Drosophila melanogaster: one gene and its partner. The protein of the gene in region 1 interacts with the protein of each later gene in a pairwise test. Each region holds a gene or a part of one and is shown on either strand. Other genes may lie near its edges.

Region 1 (3,754 bases):
ACAACATACAACTTTTTGCTTGAATAAAAAGAAAGATCAGTTCTGAACTATTTTTGATTTCCAATACCTAATTAAAAAAGTTCCGAAATTATTGTAACTTATTTAATTGCGGATTATATTTCTATAAAAATGAATGCAAGCACAAATTAATTTGCAGAATCAGCCGCTTAGAAACCATCCTCATCATCCTCGGCCATCTCCTTGGCCAGCTCAAGGTCCTGCTGCTCCCGCTCGCGTCTCTCCTCGGCGCTCTCCAAATCCTTGCCGTAGGACTTTGGGGGATAGCGCATGGCCTTAACGCTCTGGTTGTGCAGGTTCAGGCAGAACGAGATGCGCTCGTGAAAGGCCAGCTGCGGTTCCCGGGTGCTGTAGATGTCCGTACTTTCCTTGCTGCGCATGAAATTCTGGGCTGGGTCCAACGTAGCCTCAATCACGCCGTCCCGTATAGCCTTCGATACAATAAACTCGGCATCCTCCGCGGAGTCTAGCATTAGCCGCTTGGCAATGTCTTGCGGCGAGATGCGTGAGTACGATAGTCCGATGGAGCGGATTGCCGTCTTGATCACATTGTGGCGCAGCCGGATAATCAGGGTGAATGTGTGGTCCAGTTGGAACTTGGGTCCGTATTGGGATACCACGTCGCCGAAGCGCTTCAAGTTGCCCAGACGCACGGCCTGCGTGAGCTGGAAGTAGGCACCAAGAGATTGGCGAAGACCGGCTTGCCGGAACACCACACGCTCCGGGATGTTGCCCAAAAGCAGCTCCACAACGATAATTAGCTTTTGAACCGTCTGACGAAAGCCGATGGCAGCGTGCTGCGGCGACTTACGCAGGGCCTGGACCAGATGCTTGTGGGCATCGCTGTACTCCAGCTTAGCGGCCTTAATCCGACCTAGATAGTACAGGAAACGCGCCCATTCATTGTTGCTGGCCGATTCCGGGTAGACGGATTTCTTTACCAGCTTGTCGGCTTGGTCGTACAAAGCATAGTGCAAGTAGTTGCGGAGCAAACAGTTAATAAGCACCGCCTGGCCTTCAAAATCATTACGCAGCGTAGCGGTGCGCAGACGAGCGTGCAGGAACGAGCGTATGCCTTCCAGTGAGTTTTTTAGCTCCGCCACTCTTGAAAAATAGAAGTAGGACTTGGCACCAATCAGATCAAGGGTGCGTCGGTTTTGGATGGAGATTTTGGCCATTAGGGCGTCGGCGCTAATTCCGGCCCGCTTTAAATCACTGGCGTCGATGAGCTTGACCAGCAGGAGCAGGTAGAAGTAGGCATCGACCTCGGCGATTGGAGCCTTGGTGGCAACTTGTTTTTTGGGAACATCGGGCAGCTCGGTGGCGTCTTTCTCCACAGCGGGCATCAAAGCCACGGCCGCCTCACGATCTGCACCAGCGGGGTAAATACTCTGTGCAAGATTCCGGAAGACGACGCCGTTCAGCTTGCGACGAGTGTTGGGCAAATTGCGAAGGACGCGCAGGATGAAGCTGTTGGCGGAAATGAGCCATAATAAGGAAGGGACAAGATTTTAATTCTTGCACTACTCACCGCGACTCTTTCGAGGCTACCCCCTTCTCAATCTGACGAATCTGCTCGCGGATCTCCTGCACGGCGGCCACATCTTGGTTCTTCTTCTCGTCAGCCAGCGTCTCCGCCGTTGGATCCACCTCCATCTCCACGTCGTTAGCACCGATGTCCGTTGCGTTGGTCATTTTGTAATGGAACTCTCAATTTACTGGGGTCACAAATATAGCCGACTTTTCTTTTGTTTTTCTCAATCCCAATCAAAAATGCCTAGTAATGTCGCTTCTTCTTCTTATTCGTTTTCGGCTACAGGCAGTGCTGGTAAATTTAGTTGGTTAACAGAGCTGTTAAGCCGTTACGTTTCAATTTATCGATACGTTTTACGGTACACTGAGCGAACTTTCAGTCTCATATGTTATAGGAATTTATTTTTAATGTTTTACAGTAAATGTATCTATTGCTTTAATTTGGGTTAGGAATTTCTTAAGTTACGCACTCAGTAAAAGCGTATTTTTATTTAAATTGCAATAAAACATTACCACAATTCCGTTAAGCCTTTTCTTAAGTTACGCACTCAGTAAAAGCGTATTTTTATTTAAATTGCAATAAAACATTACCACAATTCCGTTAAGCCTTTTCGATATCGATACTCCGATAACATCGCACGTTATTACTATTACAAAATAACACAAAATAAAAAATTAATACGGAATATGAATTAAATTAAAATTAAAGAGAATAAAATGTTGCGGTACAGACAAGTGGTGGGTCTCCTTCAGCGCCGTAATTTCTCGGCCGGAGCAACGAGCAATGGAAGTGGATCTTCCGGGGGCGACAAATCCGGCGAAGACCTGCACCCCATACGACGAACACTCCGTTTGCTCGGGAACGATATGCGCAAAGTTAAGGAGTTCTTTGTACCAAAGGAACCGGAGACCGAGAAAGTTCCCATTCCGACACAGAGCCAGTTTCACTTTTCAGGGGAGCGCGACAAGAGCAAGGAAGCCACTGTGCCGGATGACTTCCAGACCCATTGCGATGTGCTCATCATTGGCGGCGGTGGAGTGGGCAGCTCCATCGCCTATTGGCTGAAGGAGAAGGCCCGCGACGGTCTTAACGTTGTGGTGGTCGAGAAGGATGACACGGTAGTAAAATGATGTGTACCAGTCTACCCCGAATATTTAATTTGCCTTCCACATATTTCTAGTATGCCCAGTCAGCCACGCGTGTTTCGGTGGGCGGTCTTTGTCAGCAATTCTCCCTGCCCGAAAACATCCAAATGTCACTATTTGCCGCAGACTTCCTGCGAAGCGCAAGAAAACACTTTGGCGAGGAAGTGCCTCTCCAGTTTACGCCCCATGGCCATCTGATGCTCGCTGGCGAGGAGCACGCGGAAAGCCTGAAGCGCTCCTCTCAGCTACAAAACGAACTGGGTGCCCGAAATGAACTTCTCACTGCAGATCGACTGACTGCCAGATTCCCCTGGCTAAACACCAAGGGCATCGCTTTGGGCTGTCTTGGTCTGGAAAAAGAGGGCTGGTTTAATCCGTTGGCACTTCTGAGCAATTTCCGACGGTCAGCCAGTGGCTACGGCGCCCATTTTATCAGTGGCCAGGTGGTCGACTTCGAGTTCAAATCCCAAACGGACATTTCTGTTGTCACAGATCTTGGTTCCAACGAGGGTGCCTACACGGGCTTGGAAAAAGCGGTCATCCAACTGCCCGATGGTACGCGACGCACTTGCAAGTTCGCCCTGTGTGTAATAAGCGCCGGTGCTAGTTCCGAACAAATCGCGCGATTAGCAAGGATAGGCGTGGGTCCAGGAATACTTCGGGTTCCGCTGCCCATCAACGCACGCAAGCGATACATGTACGCCATCAACTCGCAGGCCCAAAGTGCACCCGGAATGAATATGCCCATGACAATAGATCCGTCGGGCATCTTTATTCGCAGAGATGGCCTGGGCGGCAACTATATTTGCGTGCAAGATTCGACGGAAGAGTATAATAGCGCGATGATTGATCCGCAATATTTCGCCCAGCACATCAGACCCCATTTGTATAATAGAATTCCCGTTCTTGGAGAAGCCCAAGTGGTGGATAGCTGGGCGGGCTGCTATGATCATAACGTATACGACGAGAACGGCATTTTAGGAGCTCACCCGTACTACAACAATCTGTACCTAGCCACCGGTTTTAGCGGACACGGAGTACAGCAATCTCTGGCCGT
Region 2 (3,754 bases), on another chromosome or scaffold:
TAACTCGATAGTCTGGCCAAATTGCAGGGCAAAAATGGTTTAGACCTTTTCTGCATATATTCGAGGTCAGCTAGCGTCCAGTGCAACTAAAAACGGTTCCATTGGATTTGCTTTATCTGTCTGGCATCTGGAATTTGGAATCGTTAGATTCTCGGAGCACAATGGCATGGTACTTTAGCCATTTGCATCTTCACCCACTTAATGTCTCGTGTAACGTTTGCCCAACAATTTTCGGTCTTATCGACCATCTCCCGGCTACCATCTCAGTCCGTCTCCATCCCATTTCTCCTCTTTGTGCACTTCCTGCGAAGAGATTTGTGTCACCTTGCCTTGTCTTCCCCTAGGACGATTATACAAAATTGGCCCAACCCGAGGGCGAACAAGTGGAATGGCAGCCTCTTTGGGTTTTGGGCTCATTGAGGCAAGGCTTGACTTTTTGGTTTCAGTTCGCCGGCGAACGTCCTAATCTGGGTCGCCTACACTGAGCAATAAATGGGTATGGTACTTAAGACGAGTGATTTTTATTATTACAAAAAAAGGTATTCAATGGGAAATCCTTGGGCATATGAAATTATACTCATTTAATTTCAGTAATTATAGGGTTAAAATTTGAATGAAATTTTAGTTCGAGTTTGTATTTTTTTAAAATATCTTGCGGATCAAAATTAGGCGGAATAGCTGAATATCGTCAGAAGTAACTAATTATATATGACAGATGGATGGACTAAATTTTTGCAGATTAAATTGTTAAAATGAATTGAAGTAAAATGTTGACACTAAGATTTTTAAATTTGGCGACTTCATATTTACAAGATTAATCACATTTGAAATGGGAGGGCTATTTTTGACTAGAGCAAGTCTGGAATGTTTTTTAATTACCTGGACAACATGGCCGCATCCTGTGGACCGCCGGCTCCTGGTTGCGGCAACTGCGGGATCGGAGTGATAAGTCCGGCGGCGCCGTTCTTCTTGGCCGGCTCACTGCGACTCAGGATGCTGGAGATGGAGAAGCTGGTGAATCCGTTGGAGCCGGTGGTGCTCTTGCCGCCGCCGCCCCCGCTGCTCCCGTTGCTGTCGTTGCTGTTGTTGCTCAGGTTGGCCGCTGCCACCGCTGCTGCTGCCGCCGCTGCGGCCGCCGAGGCGCAAGTGTTGTTGTGATTGAGGGCCTTACTGTTGTTGTTGTTCAGACTGTGTCCTTGCACCTCATCGCCGCCATTCCGCTCCGGACTCTTCATTGGCGGACTAAGGCGCTCGACATGCGACTGCTGGTGTTGCTGCTGCACCTGCAACTGTTGCTGCTGCTGCTGGCCGGTGGGCGTGAGTGCGTGCTGCAGCAGGGCGGGATGTGTGGCCCCGTGGGCGGGATGCAAGTGGCCAAAGGTGTGGAGCGCGTGATGCAGCGCCACCGGATGGCTGCCCAGGCTGCTCAGATGGTGCTGCAGATGATGGTGCAACACCGCCGGCGGCACAGCGCCTCCGCTGGGACTGTGATGGAAGTGATTGCCGCCCGAGGCGGACGTTGTGGGCGTGCCGGCGGCCGTGTTGGGCGTATTGGAGCGATGGGTAGGCGTGGCCGGGGGCGAACTGCCGTCGGCGGAACGGGCCGGCGAGCGGGCCAGCAGCGGACTGTCGCGGGCAGCGGCGCCCAAAGGACTCGGCTCCGGACTGGACACCACACTGATGTCAACTTCGGCCTCGGAGGAAGACATAGCTTGAGATTTTTGCTTAGATTTGCAGTTTAAACGTTTAATTCAGCACTTTTGTTCTTCAACTTGCACTTGTGTGTGTGTTTTTTTTTTTTTGTTTTATATATATTTGTTAGGAAAATAAAGAATTTTCCAAACCTTGTACACTTCAGTCGTGCCACGAAAAACTCGTTAAGGGAAAACGCCGAGCGCTACCGTTGGGAGAAACACGTCTGCACCGTTTGATCAACGTTTCGCATTTGAATTTAAATGCGGCTGTTAACAGACGCAGTCCTGAGTTCTGTGTTCTGAGTCCTTCGTCCTTTCTGTCTCTGTATGTATGCGAGTGCTTGTGTGTGTCTGCGTGTGTGTGTGTGCTTGTGTTTGTGTGTGGCAAAGCGATCGTTTAGTGTTTTTATTGTTTCAGTCTCTGGATTTTTAACCCCCGGTCTCGTGTCCGGAGAGCGTGGAACTGAAACTGAGACTGAGGTGGTTGGCTGGCAGCCCTGCAAATTCTTTTGGTCTTTGCGCTAAATGGTTTTCCGCACTCACACACACACTTGCGTATTTGCTACCCCTCCTGGGAGGGTGTGTCCCACTCTCTCTCTATCGCTCTCGCTGTCCCTCTCTTTCACCGCCTGGTGGCCCACCCCTTCTGCCGCTCTTTTTCATTCCATTTGCAGTTCGGAATTTCTTTTCGTTTATTTCGACAATTGCACTGCAACCGCATCGACAGACACTTTTCGCATTTTCCTCCTTTACTATTTTTTCTCTGCGGTGCTGGTGGAGTGCGCTTTGGTTTTCCTACCCCCCGAATGGGAAACACTTGGCATTTGGAACGCGTCTAAAGTGGGGGCGCACTCGGCTCGACTCGAATCGCTTCGCTCGGCTGGTGTCTATTGAAATGCCAATATAAAATCAATCAATTGCCACCTAACAGGGGTCAAGTGTTGCTCTGTGGCGCCATTGAAATTTCCCAGCCAGCCAGATGCAAACTTTTTCGACCAGAAAAGTGTGTGCCGAAAATGCACCAGTCGATTGCAACCTTGCGGTTAGCAGATTGAGCGGTGAAAGTTTCAACAAATGGGGTTCGGTGATATAGATAAATCATTGAATTGCTAAAATATCGAAAGAAATAAACAAGCAACTTATAAATTATGCAAAGAAAAGTAAAAGAGGTTTTGTGGGTGTTATCAAATGTATAAAATATCAAATGTATTTATTATGTTTGATAACGAAATGGTGAAGAACAACGTTAATCAAAAACGATATTATCAAAAATACGAGGATAGAAGGTATCCTTAAGAAATTAAGTGAAAGATTTTCAACAATTATATTTAAATAATTAAAAATATGTAAGCAATTTCCCAACGTATTAAGTTATATTTAGTATCGTTCATGTCATTGTAATGCATTCCCGTTTCTTCTTTTATTTGGAATCTCTGAGCTTTCTACCTTATAGCATGTTTCATTCCACAGCGTTCCGTTCCCCAAAGAGAAAACCTCCCCCAAAAAGCGAACAGGCGGCCATTTTTGCGAAGGAGCTCTGCAAACTTTGCAGAAAAAGAGCGGGTGAGAGCAAGAAAAAGTTAGAGAGAGAGAGAATGAGAGAGAGGGCAAATTGAATTTTTAAATGCTTTCGCTTTTTATGAGACAACCACGAGGCATTCAAAGAGTGTTGCAAACGATTTGCTCAAAACAAAACAAACATTATGCGAGTCAATTACCCGTCGAAAGAGAGAGACGGCGAGACCGGAGAGAGCACTCTCTTTGGGGGCGTGGCCAGTGGAGGGCCAATGGGGTGACAGCTCCTCGAAATGTCGGAGAACGCTTTTCAGCGACGGGAAAAGCGAGCATAAAAAACACAACCAAACAAATGGGTAACAAACATTTGCAGCTCAGACAGCGACGCCGAAATATGCGTAGAAATTCATGCGCAATTACATTTATCCTGTTTAGAAGATTGCTTTTGCCAAAGTGCGTCTCCACGTGCTGAGGGCAAGGCGCCACCCTTGCACCCGCCCAGCACCCCCATCTGCCACCCACCACCTCCCATTTCCCCTTGGAGG

What was found.
Region 2: the proteins of l(2)37Bb (region 1) and Hmx interact in a two-hybrid assay, tested with the Drosophila melanogaster proteins (one large-scale study listed by BioGRID).

The regions. Positions count from the first base shown.
Region 1 is NT_033779.5:19,050,013-19,053,766, reverse strand, and holds the start of l(2)37Bb (lethal (2) 37Bb), read left to right. Parts: upstream 1-2,154; 5' UTR 2,155-2,268; coding exon 2,269-2,670; intron 2,671-2,732; coding exon 2,733-3,754. Other genes in the region: Rpn3 (regulatory particle non-ATPase 3), read right to left, coding at 168-1,488, 1,550-1,713. UniProt on the Drosophila melanogaster protein: Involved in the assembly of the mitochondrial membrane respiratory chain NADH dehydrogenase (Complex I).
Region 2 is NT_033777.3:17,557,319-17,561,072, reverse strand, and holds the start of Hmx (H6-like-homeobox), read right to left. Parts: upstream 2,144-3,754; 5' UTR 1,710-2,143; coding exon 880-1,709; intron 1-879. UniProt on the Drosophila melanogaster protein: Transcription factor involved in specification of neuronal cell types.